Linked DNA regions of Macaca mulatta. The protein of the gene in region 7 interacts with the protein of the main gene of each other region in a pairwise test. Links are inferred from orthologs where the notes say so. Each region holds a gene or a part of one and is shown on either strand. Other genes may lie near its edges. The genes, in order: SP3, TRIP10, H2AP, JAKMIP1, AP2A2, ERCC6L and HTT.

Evidence for each region.
Region 1: the proteins of HTT (region 7) and SP3 interact in binary tests that used the Homo sapiens proteins (3 or more experiments, as listed by UniProt). The link is inferred for Macaca mulatta from reciprocal best matches to the Homo sapiens genes HTT and SP3.
Region 2: the proteins of HTT (region 7) and TRIP10 interact in binary tests that used the Homo sapiens proteins (3 or more experiments, as listed by UniProt). The link is inferred for Macaca mulatta from reciprocal best matches to the Homo sapiens genes HTT and TRIP10.
Region 3: the proteins of HTT (region 7) and H2AP interact in binary tests that used the Homo sapiens proteins (3 or more experiments, as listed by UniProt). The link is inferred for Macaca mulatta from reciprocal best matches to the Homo sapiens genes HTT and H2AP.
Region 4: the proteins of HTT (region 7) and JAKMIP1 interact in binary tests that used the Homo sapiens proteins (3 or more experiments, as listed by UniProt). The link is inferred for Macaca mulatta from reciprocal best matches to the Homo sapiens genes HTT and JAKMIP1.
Region 5: the proteins of HTT (region 7) and AP2A2 interact in a two-hybrid assay, tested with the Homo sapiens proteins (2 studies listed by BioGRID and IntAct). The link is inferred for Macaca mulatta from reciprocal best matches to the Homo sapiens genes HTT and AP2A2.
Region 6: the proteins of HTT (region 7) and ERCC6L interact in binary tests that used the Homo sapiens proteins (3 or more experiments, as listed by UniProt). The link is inferred for Macaca mulatta from reciprocal best matches to the Homo sapiens genes HTT and ERCC6L.

Annotation. Positions count from the first base shown.
Region 1 is NC_133417.1:78,864,131-78,868,267, forward strand, and holds the start of SP3 (transcription factor Sp3), read right to left. Parts: upstream 2,801-4,137; 5' UTR 2,102-2,800; coding exon 2,095-2,101; exon of another isoform or gene 1,781-2,094; intron 1,481-1,780; coding exon 1,332-1,480; intron 817-1,331; coding exon 694-816; intron 1-693. UniProt on the Homo sapiens protein: Transcriptional factor that can act as an activator or repressor depending on isoform and/or post-translational modifications. Binds to GT and GC boxes promoter elements. Competes with SP1 for the GC-box promoters.
Region 2 is NC_133424.1:7,608,440-7,611,939, reverse strand, and holds part of TRIP10 (cdc42-interacting protein 4), read right to left. Parts: intron 3,341-3,500; coding exon 3,173-3,340; intron 2,918-3,172; coding exon 2,808-2,917; intron 1-2,807. UniProt on the Homo sapiens protein: Required for translocation of GLUT4 to the plasma membrane in response to insulin signaling. Required to coordinate membrane tubulation with reorganization of the actin cytoskeleton during endocytosis.
Region 3 is NC_133426.1:37,817,750-37,820,900, forward strand, and holds H2AP (huntingtin-interacting protein M), read left to right. Parts: upstream 1-1,347; 5' UTR 1,348-2,118; coding exon 2,119-2,472; 3' UTR 2,473-2,651; downstream 2,652-3,151.
Region 4 is NC_133410.1:6,836,288-6,840,255, reverse strand, and holds the start of JAKMIP1 (janus kinase and microtubule-interacting protein 1), read right to left. Parts: upstream 2,801-3,968; 5' UTR 2,511-2,800; intron 1-2,510. UniProt on the Homo sapiens protein: Associates with microtubules and may play a role in the microtubule-dependent transport of the GABA-B receptor. May play a role in JAK1 signaling and regulate microtubule cytoskeleton rearrangements.
Region 5 is NC_133419.1:881,384-884,883, forward strand, and holds part of AP2A2 (AP-2 complex subunit alpha-2), read left to right. Parts: intron 1-845; coding exon 846-954; intron 955-1,629; coding exon 1,630-1,780; intron 1,781-3,297; coding exon 3,298-3,466; intron 3,467-3,500. UniProt on the Homo sapiens protein: Component of the adaptor protein complex 2 (AP-2). Adaptor protein complexes function in protein transport via transport vesicles in different membrane traffic pathways.
Region 6 is NC_133426.1:78,744,552-78,747,728, forward strand, and holds the end of ERCC6L (DNA excision repair protein ERCC-6-like), read right to left. Parts: coding exon 848-3,177; 3' UTR 501-847; downstream 1-500. UniProt on the Homo sapiens protein: DNA helicase that acts as a tension sensor that associates with catenated DNA which is stretched under tension until it is resolved during anaphase. Functions as ATP-dependent DNA translocase. Can promote Holliday junction branch migration (in vitro).
Region 7 is NC_133410.1:3,307,755-3,311,254, reverse strand, and holds part of HTT (huntingtin), read right to left. Parts: intron 2,954-3,500; coding exon 2,873-2,953; intron 1,199-2,872; coding exon 858-1,198; intron 1-857.

The DNA.
Region 1 (4,137 bases), on a different chromosome or scaffold from region 7:
TTTTCTAACACTGATAGTCATATTCAATTTCAAAAGATAAAGTACTATCTAAGCAACTTGCCAATTTCAAAGGCTGCTAAATGTTTCACTTACGCCCCTTACAAAAAAAACTCACTGCAAATTTAAGTAGTCTGCAAAAACTAAAAATCAACGATTTTGAATGGTCACTAAAAAAGCAAAAAGTGTTCACTCCTGCATACAAAAGGATAATTCAAATAATAAACCCCCATTTTTTAAAAATAATGTATGATTTAAAACAGTAAGATCCTGTAACTTCCAACAGAAAATGCTCCAGTTTCAAAAATACTAAAAACTAAAGACACTCCTTCTAGTTGATACTATCTATGGCCGATAGGCTGTGCTTGAAAATTTTGTAGTGTTCAGCGAAGGAGTTTTCAGCACTGATAGGAATTGCTCAAACATCCATTTTGGAGTCCTCTACCCCCGCCCTCTCAGACTTCATTTTGTGAAGAATTTTGCGCGAGGTGCCGCAGTGACAATTTCGAGAAAGCCTGGGCTGGCTTCAAATCCAAACAGGGACGCGAAAGAGCAGGAAAGGGCGCCCTGGAGCCCAGCGGCCCGTGCGGCTCGGGAGAAGCGCGGGCGCCGGGGAGGCCTTTTGGGCGGGCGCGCTACGGGCCCCGGATGGCGGGCGCCGGGCCTCAGCGGGGGCGGGCCGCGCGCGGGACTTACCGCTCCGGCGGCGGCGGGGGCCCCGGCTGCGGCGGCCGCCTCCTCCTCGTCGTCGCCCGGCGATGGCGGCCCTATCTTGCTGCAGGTAGCGGCCAGCAGAGCGAGCGGTGACGGCTGAGTGTCCTACCCCCAATGGGCGGGTTCAGAGAGGGAGACAGGGGGAGGGGGTGGCGGTTAGGGCCGGGCGGCCGCTCGCACAGGAAGTGCGACTCGATCCCCGCCGACTGCGCCCGGGCGAGCGCCAACCCGCACTCTCCTCCTCCTCCTGGTCCCGCCGCCGGCCCCCGCCTGGCGTCCCCCGCTCCACGAACCCCGGCTCCCCGGTCTGCGGGCAGGCGGGCGGCGGGCTAGCGCGCCGGGCCTCCGCCTTCCGCCCGGAACCCACCCCCGAGAGGGCACGCTGGGGCCCACACTCACACGCGCACAAAAAGGCGGCAGGCGGGCGGGGCGGGGCGTCGCGGGCGGGGTCGGAGCGTTGGCGCCTCGGGCGGGCAGCTCCCGAGGCGGGGGGAGGGGAGGGGTGGGGAGGGGAGGGGAGAGGCGAGGAGGGAGGGGTGAGGCGAGGAGGGAGGGGAGAGGCGAGGGGAGGAGAAAGCGGCGCGAGGGGGGAGCCGGGCCGGGGCTCAGCCGCTCCTCACCTGGGCCGCCGCCGCCGCCGCCACCGCGCCGTTTCCGTGCTGTTGCTGCTGCTGCAGATACTCGCCGTGGCCGCCGCCGCCACCACCGCCGCCGCCGCTGTCCACGTCCAAGGCAGCCATTTCCTCTTGTTTCACGGGCTTTTCGGGAGCTGCAGGCACAGCGCGGGGGGGTGGGGGTGGGGAGGAAGGCGGGTGGCGGAGAGGGAGGGGGCCCGCGGGCCGAGGCGAAATTACTCCCAAAGCCCGGACCCAGGCCCCTTCCCCTCCCCCACCCGCCCCCCGGCGGCGGCGGCGGCGGCGGCGGCTCCCTCCTCCCCTCCTGCTGCTGCCCCCGCCCGCCGCTGCCTGTAACCCTCCTCCTCCTCCTCTTTCCCTCCTCCTCCTCCTCCCCGCGCTGCCCCTGCCCCCTCTCCTCTCCTCCCCTTTCCCTTCGCGCCGCTCGCTCTCACTCGCGCTCGCTCCTCTCGCACCGTCAGTCACTCACACACGCCCGCCCGCGCCCGCACACAGGGGGATGCGCTCCCGGCGGACCGGGCCGCCCGCCCCGGGGCCTGGCGGGGAGACGGCGTTGCTGGGGCTTCGGGGGTGGACGGTGGCTGGCGGGGAGGGGAGGGAGGCGCAGGGGAGTGCAGCTTTCTGCCTCTCACAGACACTCGGTCGCACACACGGGGCCAGGACCGGCGGCAGCGGCCCCGGGCTGGCTGTGGTCGGCGGCAGCGGCGGCGGCGGCAGCAGCAAGGGTTGCTCTCTCGGCTTTACGTACCGGTCATAGTGTGTTTAGGGCACCTCAGGCGGGGCTCCCCGCCGCCTTACACATGGTGAGGAGCGAAGGCGGCGGCGGCGGGAGAGGATGCGGGAAGCGGCGGCGGACACGGCCGGAGCGGTCCGGGGATTTTTTTTTCCTATTTTGATTGACTGTGCGGGAAACACAAAAGGTGGAGCCTCCAGCCCAAAAGGGGGGAAGAGGGTGACAGCCTGCCCGGAACTCCCGCCCCTCTTCTTGGCCCTCATTCGCCGCCGTGTTCTCCGTCGGATGTGCTCATTGGTCCAGGCGCCCGTCCGTCGCTGTGCCAGGCGGCGCGCTTCCTGTTTGCCCCCCGGGTGGAAGGGGCGAGACAATGAGCGGCCGTGGCAGCGTAGGTTTCCGAGAGCGGCTACGGCTCGCCGGTTACCCCGCTGTGTCCGCCTCTCTCGCCGGCTGCCGCTGCCAGGCCCGAGGCGCAGGCCTCCTCCACCTCGCAGGCGCTCGGAGCAGGCCTAGCCAAGCTGTAGGGGAGCTGAGCTGGGGAGGAAATTCGTCCCCGGTGACTCCGGCTCCACTGGAGGCTACCTCCATCCCGGCAGCAGCCTCGGCCGGATTTCCCCAGGGCCTCGCGCTCTTGGAGCCGCCGCTTGCCTGAGCTGCCAGGAGGGCACCGCCGCTCAGCCCCGGGGCTGCTGCTGCGGCCGCTGCCGCTACTGAGCAAACCAGACCCGCCCCACGAGCCCGGGGGGAGGGAGCTGGTATTAGGGGAGACACCCCCTCCGAGGCTGGAGGAGGATTTTTCTCACACACATCCAGCTTTCTGATTCACAGACAGCCATCTCGCTCCCAGCCCCCTTAGCCCCAGCTTTCCAACCGGTCTCCCACTTTCACGTACCGTGAAGGCAGGCATTTAAAGCAAAAAAATTTCAAGTCACCTCACATACGGAAGGAGAGTTTTAATTTTGGCCAGTGGCACCAAAACGGGCACTTAAAAGTATATTTCATTTTACCTGTGGTATGTGTATGTATCCAATGGGGCAGAATACTGTTTTTTTAAAAAGTCAGTCACATAATCATTTTGCTGCACAAACGTATTATCCCCAGCCTCTTAATCCTCTTGGTACCAAGTCAGATATCTCCTGAAACAAGCCCATCAACCATTGCCAACGTTTTTAAAGTCGTGAACTGGTGAAGTACCTTTTTTCCCCCATTGGAACATTTTTGTTGTATTTTAAAATCTTGTTTCACTCATTGGATTAGGTTAAAACTCCTTCCTTCTTTGGCAACCTTGATATCTTGCTGTCATCCTGGGGGAAAATGCTGAGGTTTTATGTCTGTGTTTTGCCAACTAAGAGATATCTCTCCCTGTTACCTTCAAGTATAGTTGCCAACAAAGAAGTTAAATTCAAGAGGTGGAAACACTGTCCACAATACCTCTTTTTTAGAAATCTGGCTCAAGAATCAGTTTTCCCATTACTGTGATGATTGTATTTTGTGTGATATGTGATGATGTGCTGGTGGATGAGGTTGTGAAGCACTTCAACTAGATTTTGTGTGTACTAACTTAATAGGTAATCCATTTGTGAGATAGCGAGTTTGCATCCCAGTTCCAAAGCAGTTAACCGCCTATGCTCACAGGATCAGAAACATTGTATGGTTACTTTGCTCTTAATTGTACAAAGATCGAATTTCTAGGGAATTGACCTAAAAACCACAAACATGCGGAAACGAGACTCAAAATTCTGAGTCCAAGAATAAGGTTCATCTCTCCTAATAGTAAGACCTTGTAGTCTCATTTAATTGGAAAAATAACTTCAAAGTTGAATGGTATAACCTGTGTACTATTTTACAACAAAAACTTTTAAGGAAATAAAAGTCACAAAATAACCTGATTTGGGGTGGGGGGAAGGGAAAAAGAGATGGGTGCCCTGAAGAGCAGGACAGGTGAAAAGTGAAAAGTAGACTGGGAGAGAGGAAGGGAAGTCACTATTATCACTCTGTTCCTACCTGGATCTGTTGGGTGGAAGGTAGCTCTTTCCCTAGAAAGGATATTTTAGGCAT
Region 2 (3,500 bases), on a different chromosome or scaffold from region 7:
AATAAAAAAAAAACGAGGGGAAGGAGGCGGTGGGGAAAAAATAAATAAATATAACACTAAACAAAACAGGATCTTAAGTCTGCATGCAATCTCTCAGGAAAACTTGAGAATTCGAATAAATCCATGTACACTGTTTAGAATAGTGCCTAGAATACAGTAAGTGACTAATAAATACTGTTATCATTATCATTAGTTTCTCATCCGTCTCCTCTATGTCTGTACATACAGGTAGTCATGACTATAATAGACCTTTGGAAAAGACCAGATCTGAGCTCAACTTCCTTCCAGTTATTTTTTATCTTTTTCTGAGACACAGTCTCACTCTGTCGCCCAGGATGGAGTGCAGTGGCGCAATCTCGGCTTACTGCAACCTGCGCCTCCCGGGATCAAGTGACTCTTGTGCCTCAGCCTCCAGAGTAGCTGGGACTACAGGCGCACGCCACCATGCCTGGCTAATTTTTATATTTTTAGTAGAGACAGGATTTCCATACGTTGGCCAAGCTGGTCTCAAACTCCTGGCCTCAAGCCATCTGCCTGCCTTGGCCTCCCAAAGTGCTTGGATTACACGTGTAAGCCACACTGCACCTGGCCAACTTCATTTCCAGTTCTAATACCTGACCCATTTTACAGATGAAGAAACTGAGGAATTAAAAGGTGAAACAAGCTGCCCAAGACCTCAGAGATGAAGCTGGAAATCAAGTTCAGTTTGTCGTGACTCTAGAACATGCACCCTTAATCCCTCCACCGTAGAAACCCAGGAACTAGAGAGTTCTGAATGGAACTTTACACCAATAAAAGCCATTCTGTCCAAGAGGTTACATGCAAATGGCAAAATATAATTTGGCTGCCTGTTTGCAAGTGGCAAACGTCATTCCTATTATGTAACAGGACTGGGAAGAGGATTTTGTTGCTTGGAAAGAGTGAGTAAAGATTTTTTTTTTAATCTGGCAGATTTTTTTATTGTGAATATTTTAAGTGTTTGAGCTGTTAGATAACCATAGGCTGCTTTTTTTTTCTTTTAGCCAATTAATGTGGTGAGCTAGATGGATACATTTTTTGATATTGAACCATCTTTGCATTACTGGGATAAAACCCAACGAATGGTGGCTTTTTTCTTTTTTTTTTTTTTTTTGTTTTTAAAAAAATTTATTTGGGTTTTTCTTCTTCTTTTTTTTAAGAGATGGGGTTTTACTGTGTTGCCCAGGCTGGCCTTGAACTCCTAAGCTCAAGCGATCCTTCTACCAAGCCTCTCAAAGTGCTGGGCTTATAGGCATGAGCCACCACACTCGGCTAATGTATTATTACTATTATTATTTGAGGTAGAGATTCGCTGTATCACCCAGGCTGGAGTGCAGTGGCGCAATCTTAACTCACTGCAACCTCCACCTCCCAGGTTCAAGAAATTCTCCACCTCAGCCTCCCAAGTAGCTGGAATTACAGGCACGTGCCACTATGCCCAGATAGTTTTTGTATTTTTTTTGTTTGTTTTTTTGAGACGGAGTCTCGCTCTGTCACCCAGGATGGAGCGCAGTGGCGCAATCTTGGCTCACTGCAAGCTCCACCTCCCGGGTTCATGCCATTCTCCTGCCTCAGCCTCCCGAGTAGCTGGGACTACAAGTGTTCGCCACCACACCTGGCTAATTTTTGTATTTTTAGTAGAGACAGGGTTTCACCATGTTAGCCAGGATGGTCTTGATCTAGTTTTTGTATTTTTAGTAGAGACAAACCATTTAGTAGAGACCACCATGTTGGTCAGGCTGGTCTCAAACTCCTGACCTCAAGTGATCTACCCGCCTTGGCCTCCCAAAGTGATGTATTATTTTTTAAACACTGGATTTGCTTGGCTAGGATTTTGCATCTATTATCATAAATAAGGTAAAACGAGCCCTCGATTTTATCTTCTTGAATTCTTGGCCATTGATTTGGGAATCAGGATTCGTCAGCCTAAAGAGGCTGACAGCTTTCACTCTTTTTCTGTTTGCTGGAATGACTTGTATAAGACAAGAAGTAACTGTTTCTTTTTTTCTTTTTGAGACAGGGTCTCACTCTGACACCCAGGCTGAGGTGCAAGTGGTGCAATCACAGCTCACTGCAGTCTCAATTTCCCAGGCTTAAGCCATCCTCCCACCTCAGCCTCCCAAGTGGCTGGGACTATAGACACAAACCACCACACCCAGCTAATTTTTTTATTTTTGCTAGAAATGGGGTCTCTGTTACCCAGGCAGGTCTCAAGCTCCTAGGCTCAGGTGATCCTCCTGACTCAACCTCCCAAAATGCTGGGATTGCAGGCGTGAGCCACTGCACCTGGCCAAGAAGTAACTGTTTCTCGTAAGTGTGGTAGGAATCACCTGTAAAACTGTCAGGGCCTTGGGATTGTTGGGGAGATCTTTGAGTACCACTTAAATGTCATTCATTTACAGACCAGGGCACTGGCTCGTGCCTATAAGCCCAGCACTATGGGAGGCCAAGGCAGGCAGATCAACTGAGGCCAGGAGTTCAAGACCAGCTTGGCCAATATGGGGAAACCCCCGCCTCTACTAAAAATATAAAAATTAGCTGGGCGTGGTGGTGCATGCCTGTGGTCCTAGCTAATCAGCAGGCTGAGGCACAGGAATTGCTTGAACCTGGGATGTGGAGACTGCAGTGTGCTGAGATCATGGCATTGCACTCCAGCCTGGACAACAGGGTAAGACCCTGTCACAAAATAAAAATAAAATAGAATAAAATTAAAAAATAAATAAATAAATGGAAACCATCTACTATTTTATCATGTTCCTTGCCTGCCCTTCCCCACCCCACCACCTTACCTCTGGTCAACCTCCTTCTGAAGTTCACGACTGCGTTCTTCTAACTGCTGTTGAAGCCGCTTTCGCTGCTGCTCTGGGGGCAAATGGCTAAAATCCTCGGTCACCACTGTCTGCAAGGTGGGTAGAGGGCTGAATTTGGGATCAAGGAGTCTAGGCTGCCAGACTCTGCACCCTTCTGAGATATTTCACTTCCTTCCCCAGCCATGGTTCTTGGCAGCGAGGCCATGCACAAAGCAAAGCGGGTCTGGGTTGGGCAACCAGGGAAGAGGGGCCCAGCCAGCGGCAGGAAGCGAGCCCAGGGTCCCGCCACCCGCCGCTGGGCAGGCTAGGGCCACCACCTTCTCCTGCCCCGAGGCCTCACTTACCCCACGGCTGCCTCGAAGGCTGCGGAAGGATGCTAGCCTCGGTTTGACCGACTTACTGATCTCGCTCAGTATGGCCAAGGGGTCACGGCCGGAGCGGGGGGACGGGGGTCCGTTAGGCAATGCCGAGGGTACGGGACCCCCCAGGGGGGAGAGGGGTGGGGGGCGAGGCTACCGGAGGGGGCCGGGGAGGGGGATAGTTGAAGGGGTAGGGGGGTGTAGGAGGTAGAAAATGAGGACGAATGGACGGAGGAATGGATGCACGGATGGACGGATGGACGCGAAAAGAAAAAAGGAAAAACAAAATGGAGAAAGAAAAAAACGGTAAGAA
Region 3 (3,151 bases), on a different chromosome or scaffold from region 7:
GCAGAAACAATGCCAGCTTAGACGGAAAGGGACAAATAGAGGAAGAAATGAAAGAAGGCCATAGGACTCCCAAAATTTGACAGGAGAAAGCAGGCTGATAAAACTACTCAGCTGTAAACATATGCTACCATTCAAAATAAAGGAACAATGACTGAGGGCAGAACCTAGAGGCCAGAGGGCAGATTTATGACCCCAGGTGAAGTCATAGGATCAGAGTGATCAAAGGGAGGAGTCTTAAGTCATAGAATATTCCCAGGCCTTGAAACCTAATGGTTGGATTTTGAAATTGTTTGGATTTAAGACTCTTTTGTTCTTTCTACTTTTTCCCCTATGGAATGGCAAAGTTATTGGCTGTAAATGAACCAAAGTCAAAGGGAAAACACAGAATTACTAGAAAGGAAAATTAAATAATAGAAAAGAAACATCTCTTAGTGCTTTTGCTTCACCTAGGAGAGACAAGAAATATACATCTGGGCTTAAACTGAGCACAAGATGCACTTCTCCGAGACGGGCGGATCACAAGGTCAGGAGATCGAGACCATCCTGGCGAACACGGTGAAACCCCATCTCTACTAAAAAGTACAAAAAAAAAAAAAAAACTAGCCGGGCGAGGTGGCGGGCGCCTGTAGTCCCAGCTACTCGGGAGGCTGAGGCAGGAGAATGGCGTGAACCCAGGAGGCGGAGCTTGCAGTGAGCCGAGATCTGGCCACTGCACTCCAGCCTACGCAACAGAGCGAGACTCCGTCTCAAAAAAAAAAAAAAAAAAAAAAAAAAAAAAAAAAAAAGATGCACTTCCCTATCAACTGTTTACCTGACACTGACAGGTAAACTTATTGAGCATCTTATTATTAATTGAAAAATGATTAAAATATATTTTTCAACCATTATGGAAAACAGTATGGCAATTCCTCAAGGATCTAGAACTAGAAATACCATTTGACTCAGCCATCCCATTACTGGGGATATACCCAAAGGATTATAAATCATGCTGCTATAAAGACACATACACATGTATGTTTATTGCAGCACTATTCACAATAGCAAAGACTTGGAATCAACCCAAATGTCCATCAGTGACAGACTGGATTAAGAAAATGTGGCACATATACACCATGGAATACTATGAAGCCATAAAAAAGGATGAGTTCGTGTCCTTTGTAGGCACATGGATGCAGCTGGAAACCATCATTCTCAGCAAACTATCGCAAGAACAGAAAACCAAACACTGCATGTTCTCACTCATAGGTGGGAATTGAAGAATGAGATCACTTGGACACAGGAAGGGGAACATCACACACTGGGGTCTATTGTGGGGAGGGGGGAGGGGGGCGGGATAGCATTAGGAGATATACCTAATGTAAATGACGAGTTAATGGGTGCAGCACACCAACATGGCACATGTATACATATGTAACAAACCTGCACATTGTGCACATGTACCCTAGAACTTAAAGTATAATAATAAAAAATAAAAATAAAAAAATAAATAAAATGCATTTTTCAAATAGGGTAAAATCATGACACTCATACAGATACGAAATGAACACATGCTACAAGAAAAAGATGTTATGACTGCTTCAAAAGGGAAACCAAAGAGTCGATATGGGAATATTCATCAGTAATATTAAATGATTGTGCACATGGAGGCAAAACTGGTTTCATAAGGTGAAGACAACTGAACCTCTACTAAAGAATATACTGTACACGTATCAGCCACCTACAACTAACAAAAGGCTATAAAAGACTTCACAGATAATGTAAGGCTAGAATCAGATAACCTGCAGTGGTGTCCTAAAGATAGAGCAAAGTTTTCCATTGAAACACACTTTTATTTTTATAATGTCAAAATCAGGTAAAGAGTTATAGTTCCCTCAAAATCAGGGTTCAGTCATTAGGGTGACTAGATCAGTGTCACAGACATTTCTAAGCTGAGGTCTGATCAGGGACCAGTGGACACCAGTGAAATCACAAAGCCTAGGGATGTCACAAAGGCAGCTAGCTCCCTGACCAATCAGGGCCTGGAGCAGAGGGATCCAATAGGCAGCACCAGCGTCCTCAGAGACTTACTTGAGCTGGAGAATCAAGCAGAGCTGATCAGAGCCAAACCCAGCAAATATCATGTCAGAGAAAAATAACCGTAAGAACTCCTCTGCAAATAACAACCAGATTCAAGACCGGTCTAGAAATGAGCTGCGGGTCCCTATGAGCTTCGTGGACCGAGTTGTGCAAGATGAACAAGATGCCCAAAGCCAGAGTTCCTCCACAATAAATATCCTCCTTACCCTGCTCGATTGCCTTGCTGACTACATCATGGAGCAGGTAGGCTTGGAGGCCATCAACAATGGCAGGATGCGCAACACTTCACAAGATGGGGAGAGAGAAGGGGACAACCACCATGAGCCCCACCGCACTGAGAGTGATGGAACCCGCTTTGTGTTTGATGAGATGCCCAAATCCGGAAAGAATGACTGAAGACTGGGTCCCAGAGCCTTGAGGGGATCCTCACAGGCTTAGCCAGGGCAAAAATGTGTCACAGCTGAGGAATATCTGCTGTTGTCATCAACAAGTGCTACTAAAGGATGTAAATCCATGAGTATGTTTCTGACTCCTTCCAGTTTCCGTCTTTTTGGGTTGTAGGTGTCTGTGAGACATCAAGGAGAAGCTATCCCCAGAGAGCTGAAGTTGGGGGGGGGGGCGGGAAGTGGTGGCCAGTGTGGAGTGTTTGAATCAGTGATTTAGAGGGGGCAGTTTCCAACGGTGACAGAGAGGGCACGGGCCCTGTGGGGAGGAACTGGCTGGGATAAAGACACCGAGACTTCCTAATTGCCTCTGAACAGGAAGGCCTTGTGAGGCCGGGGAGTTGGCTGGGGGCCTCTGAGGCTTGCTGAATTCCCAGCCTGATGCTGGGGCCTGGGGTGGAGCTGCAGACTCTGACTGAAGTGCAGGAGGCAGAGGGTGGTGGCCACAGGGGCGGGTGGAGAGGGGGCACACTGGCTGGCATGAAGTTCATGGGATAGGGACTTTACATGGAGATTGAGAGTGAAGGAGAAACCATGATGAAAAATGCAAAAAAGAAATGATGGCCTGCTGGATTTCATTTCTTATTTCTTTATGCCCTGACTTATTATGAAAGAGGATTTGAGACAGGGAT
Region 4 (3,968 bases), about 3.5 Mb from region 7:
CTGGCTCAGAGCCTGAAGAGATGCAAGGTCCCACCCTCGAGGAGTTAAACAGAGAGCCACAGCCTGCAGTGGCAACTGCTGCTGCCTTATGGACTAGAAATTGTTCCCTCTGCCACTTGTCCCACAGCCCAGTCCACCATTACACACCAAGAGAGTGGGGCCACGGTCCTGCCACTTCCTCAGGCAGCCTTCCTGGCTGGGCCAAGGCAGGGGCCTGTCCCCCTCTCCCTGCACATGGCTCTCTGACAGCACGGGCAGTGTCTGTGTGGCCATCTCCCTAGGAAAACAGAGCCCCGACCAAAGTGGGACCATCTCTCAGGTGACCTCACTGTGTCCCGTGTCCCGTGTCCCCAGTCTCTAGTGGGCAAGATCTGCTTAAGGAAAAACTATACAAACAAATATCACACTGGACGTGTATGAAAAGTTCTGAGAACACAATGAGAGAACCACACAATCTTTCCGGTAGAGTCTTGGAAAATCACAGTGATGGAACCTAAGAGCTGGACTTTATCATGAATCGTTCTCCAGATACACAAGGGAGGGGAGCATTGTTTTAGAGAGGGGGGTGAAAAAAAAGCATGTGGGGAAAAACCCAAGTGTGAAGACATGTCTACACAACACAGAGGCAGCAGGCGTGGCTGAGACATCGTGGCAGGAAGAGGGGAGAGATGGGCCAGGGAAGTCAGGATGGAAGGAACTGGTGAGGTAGTGGGGGCAGTGGGAGTCATAGGTGGTTTGTGAAGGAAGAAAATGCCAGTCATCTCATGCATTGGGTCCACACTGTGATCCTTTGGGAGCGGCTTACTGCAAAAAGACTCCAGGTAAGAATTACCCCAGACTCCAGAGCGGAGATGTTCAGCATTACAAACCGGTACATATCTCAGCAACAAAAATCTTGCAACAAGCCACAAACCTCCACTGTGCGCCGCAACATCAGTCTGTGCAGACCCGCAGATCTCCAGGAGGGTGACAGTGCCCTGCTAGGAAAGGATCCTAATCCCCCCACTCCATCCTCGAATGTGTCCCTCCTCCTTGCCCATCCCAGCTATTGGAGCCACCACCCACAAGCCCAGGTTGCTAGAGGAAGGGCCAACTCCTCCCATGGCCTCGCCCTCCACACCAGCGGGTTGCTTTGACTTAGGGGAGATGTCCCTGCTATGCCCAACATTCACTGTGGGTGGAGCCCTGGGAGAGGGGCTGAGGCTGCCCCTGTCCTCCTCCCCACCTCCTCCTCTGCTCTGGAAGGCAGAGGCCGTCAGATGGTAACAGCATCCTGGGACAGCTCCGCGGTCCAGGAAAGCTCAGGAGGGGCAAGGGGATCTCCCTGACCTTGGTCTACAAGGAGCTGGCCAGCCGAAGTTAGGGCGTTCCCGGAGAGAGCACAACACGGGCAAAGGCCAAGGACAGTGTGCCTGCGAGTGTGCGCAGATGGGGCGAGCGGCGGAGGAGGGCTGGCGGTTAGATACAGTATCGCTGGAGCTCAGAGAGCCGGGCAGAGGCTGGCGGAGAGCCGAGGTTGGCCCAGCCTTCAGGAGACCGGCGAGCTGGGGTGTGTGGGAGCGGGATGCTTCTAAGGCGAAAAGAAGAGCCAGCCTCGTAAGCGGCCTCTATCTGGGCTGCCCTGGCCGGATCCTCAGGAGCCCACAGTAGGGGGGATGGAGCGAAGGACCTAGGAGCTGGGAGGCGAGGCCGCCGCGCGCGCACTGACGTAGGCCACCGAGGCCGCTGGCCCCGACGCACGGCGCCCGGCAAGGTGTCTGGCACCACCGGAGTCAATCCTTGCGCGCCATCTCCGAGCCCAGCGCGCCCAGGGCGCGCTGGGCCGGCAGGAGGGTGGGTGCCAGCCTTTCTTCCCATCTCTCCAGCCTCCTCCCCGGCGCCCACGTGGGCGGAGCAGCGCGAGGGTGTGCGTGGCAGGGGCCGCGGCGGCGTGTGCGGTGCGTGGGGTGGAGTGCAGGCTGGGCGGCCTCGCCCGCGGGCCCCCCGCCGCCGGGGCGCGGCCCCCAGCTCCATCTTCTTTGCCACCTGGGCGGGGATCTGGGGGACTACGACCTACCCTGCGGAAGACACCGAGGGGACCGGCCGGCCACACCCCCCAGGCCACTCCGGCAGGCACCGGGTGGGTCCCCCCTCCCGCTCCTTGGCTTGGGGGCGGAATCCGGAGAGGAGTGGAAATAGGGGTGGCGTGAAGGAGAGCTGGGGGCTGGGGGCGGAACCGGGAGGGGGTGTTGGGGGAAGCGACGCAGCGGCTGGGAGATTTTGCAAGGGGGTCTGAAGAGGAGTGGGGGATGGGTACGGAAGGGTGGGGGAACGCTGAGGTGGGATGCGAGAGTGGAAGGGGGACCCGAAGGGGGCGCGATGACCGGAGGACGGGGAGATGGACGATGGGGCGGGGCGGCACCGGTCGCCGCGTCCCTCGCCGCCGGGTCCGCCCCTCGGTCGCCGGGTCCACGGGTTCTCTCTGGCCTGCGCGCGCCTCTCCTCCCGCCCCCCGGCGCACCTGTACCCACCTGCTCGGCGCTCAGGCCCGAGCCGGGCAGCAGCAGCGGGCGTAGCGAGCGCAGCCCCGCGCCGCATCCTCCGGCCGCCCCCTCCCCGCTGCGAGCTTACGCCGGTGTCGCCGCCGCCACCGCCTTAAAAAGGACAAAACGGAACAGAAAATGAATGCATGCACAAAAAATCGTAAAAAGCAATTGAGGAGGATGGCAGTCGCGCGCGCGGCTCGGCGGGGCGGGAGTCGAGAGGCCGCGGCACTGGTGGCCGCGATAGGGGCAGGCGGCCGGCGCGTGCCGCACGCGGGTGGCTGCAGCTCCCTCGGTCGCCGGCGCCCGGCTCCGGCACGGCCCCGCCCCTCCCTAGGGAGCCCGTCCGATTGGTCTGTCTTCCTGCCAGTCAGGCAGGAGGGCTAGGCGCCCGCCCCTCCCCGCCCCCGCCCCCGCCCCAGGCAGACTCTGGGAGAGCTTCTGCAGCCGCGAGAGGGGGCGCGGAGCTGCCGGAGCGTGCGCACTAGGCCAGCGGCCGGCCCGGGCAGGGCTGGGGTCCCGGCGCTGAGCGCCCTCAGCCGCGCCGGGCACCCTGGCGTCTCGCTGAGTCGGAGCAACCCCCGGGAGGAGCTTTCAGGCTCTGGTCAAGGCTCGGGCCTCGGGAAGCTATCCCTACCCTCGGGGGCTCGAGCCTGGCGTGGAGCTTGCAGGTAAAGCGGGGCTGGGGCCGTCCTGGCCGTCAGTGGTCAGGAAGACGCAGCGACCCCGGAGATCCATGTCCCCCTCTGTACGGATGAGAGGTCTGAAGGTCAGAGGTTAAAGCGCACGCTAAAGTCGGCAGAGCCAGCAAGGGGCAGAACTGGACATATGCCAGCCTAGGGAGCTGCCCCCACCAGCCCAGGCTGCCCCCAGCAAAGCCACATCACCAGGTCATAGCCAAATGAACGATGTGCTGTCGAGCTGAGACTTGGGAGGGGCAGGACTCAGCTGGGCAAACATTCATTCAGTGTCATTAGACAAATATTTATTGAGCACCTACTGTGTGCCAGGCAGTCAAGAAGATGTGGGGACACCATAGTGAACAGCAGAGAGGAAGAGGCGCCCACCAGAGCTTACTTTCTAGCAAGGAGAAGGGAGGGAAGAGCACCCAGCAAAGGGAGCAGCGTGGGGGAACACCCTGACTGCAGGGAACGGGACATGTTTGAGAATCTGATAAAAGTGTCTGGGCCACAGAATGATGAGAGGGAGAGTGTGGAAGATGGGGCGTGGGGGCACAGAGGGGCAGCGCTTGCAAGGTCTTGCAGGCTGGGCAGAGTTTGGAGACTGTCTCGCCTGGAAGGTGGTCCCATGGACTATGGTCAGATTGATATTTTTTAAACTGCACCAGTCAGGATAAGCTGTGTTAGCCACAGTAACAACCAAACCCAAATCTCCCTGGTGTGTCTTGCTACATGGTACATCCTTCCTCTGTCAGTGGGGCTCTGT
Region 5 (3,500 bases), on a different chromosome or scaffold from region 7:
GAGAGACAGCTCATGTTGGCCGTGTCTCTGTCTCGGAAGTGCTGTGATTCTTGCCTTTCCTGCTTTGTGTTTGTGCCTTTCAGCCCTGTCTTTGACAGACAGCCTAGAACTTGCCTCCCTGTAGCAGGAGTCTGTGACCCAAGTCTGGGCTGGCATCTTGCAGCTTAGGGCAGGAGTCAGGGTGAACTTTTCTAAATGGGTTCACTTATGGCCTAAAAGTGTCGCACATGTGAGCTTTGTAGGAAGGGAGGAACTACATTGACCTCCCAGAAACAGGAGACACTGGGCTGTATGTCAGTGGAAATGTGAGGTGGTCGTGATTGTCACTTGTTCGGGAGGTTGACAGAGGATCTGCCAAGCCAAAGGCCGCATTGGACAAAGAGATGGGATGTGAGTGAGGCGGGCAGCCTCCCTGCCTCAGCGAGCTCACCATCTGGGTTGACCTGTGGTCGGGGGGAACTGTGGGGTTGTGGGGTAGGGTCAGAATGCCGGCTTCTGGGGGTGGGGGTGTGCTTCTTCCTTCTGAGGAGCCTAAAGCTCTCTCTTTCGTTTCATTCATGTTCTGGTCCACAAAGGAAAGACTGTAGTTTCAAATCCAGGTGCTATGGTGTCTTGTACCGAGTGAGGGTTGCCACTCAGCTGCGGCAGCGTGTTGCCAAGTGACAGCACAGCCCTCTCACAGCGAACCTGGGGGTACCAAACAGTGTCAGACGCTCCTGGCACATGAAACAAAACCATTTTTCCAGCTCAGGCATGACCCGAGGAGTGCGTATGGCTTTTCTTTGGGTCCCTGCAGCGGGGGCTCATGCCCAGCAGCGTGTCTGATTGCCTTTGCTGTCTTACAGATCGTGACGTCCGCATCAACAGATCTTCAGGATTACACTTACTATTTTGTCCCGGCTCCCTGGCTGTCTGTCAAACTGCTGAGGCTGCTGCAGTGCTACCCACCCCCAGGTAACGCGCAGGCCGCGGCTCCTGAAGCTGCACTAGCGCCGGTCTGATTCCCTGTCTCAGATTTAAGTGGTTTGTTTATTATTTTAAGAAGTGTGTTACTAGCCCTGCCTCTTGATTCATCGACCTTTCTGCCAGTGCTGCCATATGCGCTGGCTTTTGTGGAGCAATTATTGCAGAGCCTACAGTTTTGTTAGGGTTTGGGTCTATTGTGCTTTTATAGTATCAGATCTGTGCAGGTTTTCTTTGAGACGGAGTCTCCCTTTGTTGCCCAGGTTGGAGTGCAATGACGCGATCTCAGCTCACCACAACCTCTGCCTCCTGGGTTCAAGCGATTCTCCCGCCTCATCCTCCTGAGTAGCTGGGATTACAGGCACCTGCCATCATACCCAGCTCACTTTTGCATTTTCGTAAAGACGGGATTTCACCATGTTGGCCAGTCTGGTCTTGAACTCCTGACCTCAGGTGACTGGCCTGCCTCGGCCTCCTAAAGTGCTGGGATTACAGAAGTGAGCCATTGTGCCCGGCCTTTCTCAGTTTTGTAAATGCTCCCAGCTGGGTACACAGATGTGAATGAACTATATTAAAAATGCTCTCATGATGTATGGGTACAGCCGGGAGGGGCAGGGTGGGCTGTGGGCCACTGGAGCCTGGTGAGCACCATTCTGTCTTGCCCAGAAGACCCTGCAGTGCGAGGCCGCCTGACTGAGTGCCTGGAGACCATCCTGAACAAAGCCCAAGAACCACCCAAGTCAAAGAAAGTCCAGCACTCCAATGCGAAGAATGCCGTGCTCTTCGAGGCGATCAGCTTAATCATTCACCATGACAGGTGTGTCGGCCGCCTGTGGAGCGAACTTCATCTTGCGCACGCACACATGTTCCTTCTCGTTGGCATGACTGGGCTGATCATGTCTAGTTAGTTTGTCCACTCCACGGGCCTTCCCTTCGTCCTGCCTGTCTGCTCCCTGCTGGACCCTTTTCTTTCCGTGCAGCTCGGCTCATCCTCCTCTGAGCTCACCATGAATTGCTTTGCTGACTGTGGTCTCATCCCCCAAAAGGGCCTTTTCCTCCTTCTCCTGAGCATCCCCACTCCTGACTGGCTTCTCGTGTCATGGAACGGAGAGGAGACGGGGATGGGGTGGGGGGCATGTGCACATGTCCTGTGACTTTGCTGGGCATAGAGCCATACTTGGTGGGTCCGGGGTCCCAGGGCAGTGCTGGAAACGGCTGTGCCCATCTACACAGCACAAGGCACAGGGTGAGTGACTGGCCGCTCCACACAGCCCGGAGGGTCTGCCTCCTCTGCCCCCACCACACAGCCCGGAGGGTCTGCCTCCTCTGCCCCCATCACACGGCCCGAAGGGTCTGCCTCCTCTGCCCCCACCACACGGCCCGGAGGGTCTGCCTCCTCTGCCCCCACCACACGGCCCGGAGGGTCTGCCTCCTCTGCCCCCACGACACGGCCCGGAGCGTCTGCCTCCTCTGCCCCCACCACACGGCCCGGAGGGTCTGCCTCCTCTGCCCCCACCACATGGCCCGGAGCGTCTGCCTCCTCTGCCCCCACCACACGGCCCAGAGCGTCTGCCTCCTCTGCCCCCACCACACGGCCCGGAGCGTCTGCCTCCTCTGCTCCCACGCCTTTTCTGCTCAGCAGTTGTGGTGCACTGCATGTGGGCTGGCGTGGGTCTTGCGTGTGGTGCCGTGCTTTAGGGTCCTGTGAGAATGAGATTGCAGCTCCCACCAGGCTCCCGATAATGAGGAAACATGCCAGGCTGTGGGCAGACGCTCTCTACAGCTAGTGAACACCACCCATTTGCTACTACAGCATTTTTACAAATGATGAAAACTCAGTCTGAGAGAGCTGGGAGCTATTAAAAGTGAAATTTCCCATTTTAGAGAAAGCTCTGTTGTTATGTGAGGAGAAGCCACGTTCTGAAGAGACAGTAGAGTGAGTGGGGCAGCAGCCACGCTCCCAGCCTTCTCAGCCTTCTCCCTGCCCCGGGCTGGTGCCTCTGGCTGAGACCCCATTGCCGGTCACAGCTTGACCGGCCTCCTGCGAGCCTCATGCAGATTGAGGCTCAGGAGGTGCTGGGAAGCTCCAGTGGATGCATGGGCTGCTGACTGTCACTGGGGGGATGAACAGAATGGACGCAAAACGGAAGTCAGGGGTAGGGGTCAGGTGCATCTGGGGAGGCTCCCGAGTTCCCACTTGAGCAGTGCGGTGGCGGTGAGTGTGGTGTGACTTTGCTATCTGCCATCTGGACCCGTTGGGGAACGCAGGCTCTGTCCAGTTTGTGTCACACTTGCTGAGGAAACCGCCCCCCCATTTCCCCTCCCTCCATGCAGTGAGCCGAACCTGCTCGTCCGCGCCTGCAACCAGCTGGGCCAGTTCCTGCAGCACCGTGAGACCAACCTGCGCTACCTGGCCCTGGAGAGCATGTGCACGCTGGCCAGCTCCGAGTTCTCCCACGAGGCTGTCAAGACACACATCGAGACTGTCATCAACGCCCTGAAGGCGAGTGCCCTGTCCTCGGGGTCTGCTCACTCCC
Region 6 (3,177 bases), on a different chromosome or scaffold from region 7:
ATATTTTGGAGATGGGATCCAAGTCGAAACACGAAATCCATTTATGTTTCATATACACGTTATATACATAAGTCTGAAGGTAATTTTATAATTACTTTTAATGATTTTGTGCTTGAAACAAAGTTTGTGTATGTTGAACCATTTTATTGCCCTTTGTAGGCAGGCTTGCATGGGAGAATCTGGGCCTGTGTGGAAAGGATATATAGTAGCTGAAGGGGGCTTACAGAATCTCTTTTCCCTTGGGGATGCTGAGTAAACAGTGTGTTGTACACCTTCATTTTGACTGTGACATGTCACATGACATGAGGTATGGAACTTTCCTCACTTGTGGCATCATGTCAGCACTCAGAAAGTTTCCTCATTTTTGGATTAGGGATGCTCCACCTGTATTAAGCTGAAAACATGAAACAGCATGTTCACAAGCATGTCTTAAGATCTAGACTGATAATGACAGGCTTCTGCCAGTATCATCTCAGTGAAACAAAGTGGATGGAAAACACTTGAGAAAAGTAACTTTAATTTTCTTATCTGAACTGTTATATACAAAGATGATCACTTTCAGAGTAAAATTAAGAATGACCAGAATAATTTTACAAAACTTTCCAAGAAACAACAGTTAAATTTACAGAATATGCCTAAAATATAAGAATATTCAAGTGAAGAAATATTAAGCTAGTGCTCAGAATACCAGACTATGGAGTGGGGGGTGTTGCAGGGCAGAAGTTGCTTTTTGAGATCTTTCTTGCCTTAAGCCTGAATGCTTCATGTTCCCAAAGAATCCAATTATGGAAACAAAAATTCCCTCATATTCAGTTTCACTTTAAAATACAATAAACAGGTTACATTCTCAATTGTTATTAAGTTGCTTATACAAACTTAAAGTCAAGAGCATAACTTCAGGATCTGCACTTTTTATGTCAAGCGCTTTAACTAAGCAGTTTAGGGCCTCCTGAATTTTTCCACACTCTTTTAGTTCTTTTCCACGCTTTACAAGAGTCTCATAGTCATTCGTAGCCTCTGCCGCCTGGGGAGAACCAACCAACTGTTCACCAGACAAAGGCTCAGGGGCACCAAGAGAGGTCTCTTGAGCTAGAGCACTAGGCTTAGATGTCGTTAACCAGCTGGACTTGTTTTCTGAAGACAGTGTTTCTCCTGAAGGATCCTCTTCTGTATACTTGGAGGCTTCGCCACTGCTTTCCTCTGCCCCTTCTTCTGGATAATCTTCAGCACCCTTTGCTTCACTGCTGTCGTCAAGTCTTTCCTCCATGTCCTCCACGTGGTCTAAAACCATATTAATAAGAGACCTCCTAGAAGCCAGAGATCTTCTAGAGTTCATAGACTTATTTACACTACTGGGTATTTGAGATGAAAAGAACCTTCCCGGTGGACTGATGTCATTTTTGGGAGTTGAAGCATCAAATTGTTTCACAGATGAGAATTGAAAGAGAGATGTGTTGAATGGATTTGTGCTTGAGGTGTCTTTAAAAGAATCATCTTCATCTTCGCCATCTGAAACAATCCTTCTAGCTTTACTTCTGATTTTTGCTTTAACTACTACTTCTTCTGGTTCATCATCTTTCTCAGAAAACTCCCAACTGAGACATGTTTTGCTATGCACAAACCCTGCTCTGGAATTAGGTGCAGAGCCACACAAGCTCTTTTCTTTCTCAACATGTTCTAAAGACTGATCGGAAAAATTTTGTCTGTTGTCTGCTGAGTCTTCCAAGAAAAGATTAAAATCACATGCATACTGTGGTGAAGATGCTAAACGTTCCTCTTCCAACTTGGCCTCACTTGCTTGAGCATCCTGCAGTGCACTATGGGATGCTGAAAGGTCATCAGCTATTTCAATAATGGATACATTTGATTCTGCATTTTGACTTTCATTTGTTATGGAAATAATGGGCCAAGGATTGCAATGATGTAAAATCTCATCATCCTTTAGTTGATCTAAATTTGGCCCAAGATCAGCTTTGGTTGATTTGCTAAGTACATAATTAAAACTTTCCAGAGGATCCTCTTGCAGTGCCTCTTGCTTAGGCCCCTCTTGTAATGTCTCTTTTTGTACAGCTTCATTTTTAGTTGCAAAGCTTTTTTCCATTCCCAATGAAGAGTTAGTACAAAGTTCTTCTACACTTCCAAACCCCTTGGGTAAAGTAGCTATAGAGTCAGCACTACATGTACCTTCATATGGGTGCCTACCATCTTGCAAGGTGGTAACATTCACCTTTATACTGGAGAGATCTTGTTTCTCACCCTCTTCGGGCAGATCATCAATGACTACACTTGCCATTTTGGAACTGATATCTTCTTCCTGAGTATGACGAGTACTTATAAGAGGTGAAGGCTGAGGCTGTGGTTTATTCAATTTAGGGCATTTCTTCTTTGTTGAAGAAGGAAATACAGGTTCTCTTAGCCAGGCCCCCTCATTTCTATTTCTTTGTTGTTCCATCAGGAGCTCTTTATTTTGAGACTCAAATTCAACAAGGAATTGCGCTTTCTGAACCCTTTGTTGAATATAGTGAGATTCTTCTACCACATCAAGTTCTTCTTTAATAGATAGATCACATGTGTACATCAAATCATGGTCTGAGATTCCGGCTATCCCCAAAGACTGCAGATAGGCAATGTGTTCATCTAGTTTTGTATCAGATTTCCTCTGAGCAGCATGCAAAGACTGAAGCTGCAGCTGGGTTACAGAGTTCTGAAGATCCTCGATTGTAAAGAGCTCTCTTAATTCTTGTTTACTAAAATATCGGAAAGGGTTCTTTTTTTCACCAGTAGTTTGTCTTATTAATGAGTCCTTGAAAACCTGTCTTCTGTATATTTTTTCCTCTACAGTCCCACAAGTGATTAGCCTATAAACCACAACATTCTGTTTTTGTCCAATTCGGTAAACTCTATCCACAGCTTGAGCATCAGTTGCAGGATTCCAGCTAGGGTCAAAAATGACCACTCTAGTTGCTGCAGTTAATGTTAAACCAACACCACCTACTTGAGTGGTAAGCAGAAAAACAGAGTAATCTTTATTTTGCTGGAATAAGTTAATTCTTTTTTCTCGTTCCAAAAGATGAGTAATCGTCCCATCGATTCGCAATGTCTTAAAGTGCCTATTCTTTAAGAGGCGTTCGATGATGTTTAGAATTTGCCTCGATTGAGAAAACACCAGAGTTTGAT
Region 7 (3,500 bases):
GCACTCAATTTTAGCAGAGTTCACATAATCAACTATTCCAATTTTTTACCTCAGTGTTCAGTGGAAAAGACACTAAGCTGTTCCCTTCAGTGAAGGTATCAGATGAGGTCAAGCTCTCCACTAGTGATCTAAGCTGCGCTGTCATTAGGGGTATTAGACAAGAAGAGAACAAGCAGGAGGGTTCAGGTCTGGGTCTCCAGGGAAGAGCTCAAAAGATGGCAGACAGTAGGGTTGGGCATGGTAGCTCACAAATATAATCCCAATACTTTAGGAGGCCAAGATGGGTGGATCACTTGAGGTCAGGAGTTTGAGACCAGCCTGGCCAACATGGTGAAACCCCATCTCTACTAAAAATACAAAAATTAGCTGTGTGTGATGGTGCCCGCCTATAATCCCAGCTACTAAGGAGGCTAAGGCAGGAGAATCGCTCGAGCCTGGGAGGCAGAAGTTGCAGTGAGCTGGGAACGTGCTACTACACTTTATTTTTTTATTTTTATTTTTTTGAAACGGAGTCTCGCTCTGTCACCCAGGCTGGAGTGCAGTGTCACGATCTCGGCTCACTGTAACCTCCGCCTCCTGGGCTCAAGCAATTCTCCTGCCTCAGCCTCCCTAATGGCTAGGATTACAGGCATGTGCCACCACACCCAGCTAATTTTTGTATTTTTAGTAGAGACGGGGTTTCACCATGCTGGCCAGGCTGGTCTCGAACTCCTGACCTCAAGTGATCTGCCCACCTCGGCCTCCCAAAGTGCTAGGATTACAGGCGTGAGCCACTGTGCCCGGCCTCCACTGCACTATAGAGTGAGACTCTGTCTCAAATAAAAAATAAAAGATGGCAGGCCCCTCCGCACACTTACAATTTCAGAACTGTCTGAAGGGGTGACAGCTGAATCAGGCCCTTCGGTGGTGGTCTGGGAGCTGTCGCTGATGGGCGAGGAGGCCTGGGTCCCATCATTCAGGTCCATGGCAGGGTCAGATGGGACGGCGCTGACCTGGCTGGAGCTGTGGCTCAAGATATCCTCCTCATCCCCATCCGTGGCAGAGCTTGTCAAGTCACAGCTGGCCAGATCCACTGAGTCCGCCTGCAGCGTGTGCTGTGACCGTGGCTGCTCCGTGATGATGTCGTGACCTGCTGACCCTGGAGTGGAAACCCCTGAAGAAGTAGCCAGCTCTCCACTGATATCATCCTTCACTGAGGCTGAAGACAGAGAAACACTCATTTGTCAAATGGCGAGAGAAAACATTCAATATGGAATCAAAGGCTTGCAAAATAACACAAAGTTCCACTGTCATCCAATGTTTCCATTTGATGGAATGTTTGATGAAATGTTTCCAAATGTCATCACTGCATAGCATCCTGAAGACAGTGAAATGCAGGACAGCAGTGCATCCCTCATGTACCACTCACACTGCCTCTCGCTACAGTACCCATCTTAATAAAATAAGGCTTATCAGAAGGTAATATTCTCAAACGGTGTTTCACTGCAAAAACTGAAGTTCAAGTTCTTAACCAACTACTCCAAGCCCTGGCTAGGGCAATTTATAAAGACGTTCATAATTAAGGGGCAGCCTAGTCAGGGGCACAAAACTAGGCGGTCCCAGACACGCAGGTCCTCTAAGCAAGCAGTGGTCACGAACAACTGTAATCTCTCTGGGGTGGGCTTGCCTTCTTCCAAGCCACGTTCAAGATCTCGACTCCAGTCCTATTATTCTCCTGGAAGATAAACTTCTAACACATTTTCCTAGTTGACTTTTTTAATTACCATTTAAAAACAAAAAAGACTATATAGAAATCATGGCAAAAAGGTCAACACGAAGCTGTTGGCAGTGGTCACTCCTGGGGCGGTTGGGTTGGTAAGCAAGTGACCTTTATACTAGTCTAGATCGCTGTGATGTTTTATTGTTGTTTAATTTGTGTAATCAAAAATAAAATCTATTTTTATTTTGTAAATAATTACTACTAGAATTATTCAGATTTTCCTCCCTAAATATTTAAGTCTTACTTTCAGTTACAGCTAAAATATTCTTTTAGATAGGATTATACAACCAAAACCACCCTCATATAATCCAGTTATTAGTACCTTAAATTAATCCTCATCTTTTATAAAGTACACAGAGAATTTCATTAGATAACTATCTGTAACTGGCCAGGCACAGTGGCTCACGCCTGTAATCCCAGCACTGTGGGAGGCTGAGACAGGCGGATCACTTGAATTCAGGAGTTCAAGACCAGCCTGGTCAACATGGTAAAACCTCGTCTCTACAAAAAATACAAAAATTAGCCAGCCGTGGTGACGGGCACCTGTAGTCCCAGCTACTTGGGAGGCTGAGGTAGGAGAACGGCTGGAACCCAGAAGGCGGAGGCTGCAGTGCGCCAAGAGCACACCACTCCATGCCAGTGACATTGGGTATCAGCACTGGGTGACACAGTGAGACTCTTTATCTCAAAAAAAAAAAAAAAGATAACTATCTGTAAACAAAGGCAGATTCTTTCAAGTTAAACTATCCATAGGCAATTTTTCATCCCACAATTTTTCATCCCATTTCCAACCCCCAGCATAACCCATCCAACTCATGAGACGTTTCGACGTGCCATCCCTACTCACAAAGCCCTATGCTCAAGGAGCATAAACCTAATTTTAAAACAGTCTAAACCACAGAAAACAGCAAATATATGATGCAAACACCACAGACACACAAGCTTCAGAGTAAGTATTATGAAAGAAGCCCAAATATCCCCCATTTAAGCAACCTGGGTCCACTGCTGCCCCCAGTTGTGCTGTCCACCAGGTGCAGGGGGACGGGCAGGAAGGGCATGGGGTGGACGGCAGAGAGTGAAGGTCCACACCAGTGGCTAACTAGTGAGAACTACCTGCAAAGGCAGAGCTGCTGACATCCGATCTCGATTCAGAGTCATCCTCCAAGGCTTCTTCTTCTCCTAAGAGCACTTTGCCTAGTAAATAATGTACCAACATTCCTTTAGTTTGCTAAAAATAAGGATTTCAAAATTAAGTAAATGCACTCTAAAATGAAACTCATAAGAATATTTAATTTACTCTAATATGGTTTATCATCATATATAAGTATTTTTATACCTCTACAGTATTAAACACAAAGAATGTAGAGATGTTATGTTTAGAATGCTATTAAAGTTAATAAACCTATATGGAAAAAGTTAAAAGCAATGATTCTCAAAGTATACCACAAAACATTTTAATAATTAATATTTATTGATTTCAATTATTAAATAATCTATAGTACTACTTAAACTTAAAAATAGTAAGTTTTAACTGTAAAGACCCAATGCTATTGGCCTTTGAAATATTCATGTGATAGCTCCAATGACACACCAGAATTTGTACATAAAACTCTAACACCTAAAAGTCACTTTCATTTTATTATCTTTTAATTTTCTTGACTTTATGATTAACAATCAGAACTCAAGCATTATATGATCTGGAAGGATGAAATAATATTTCACTTGAAAGTTCTAAAAATAC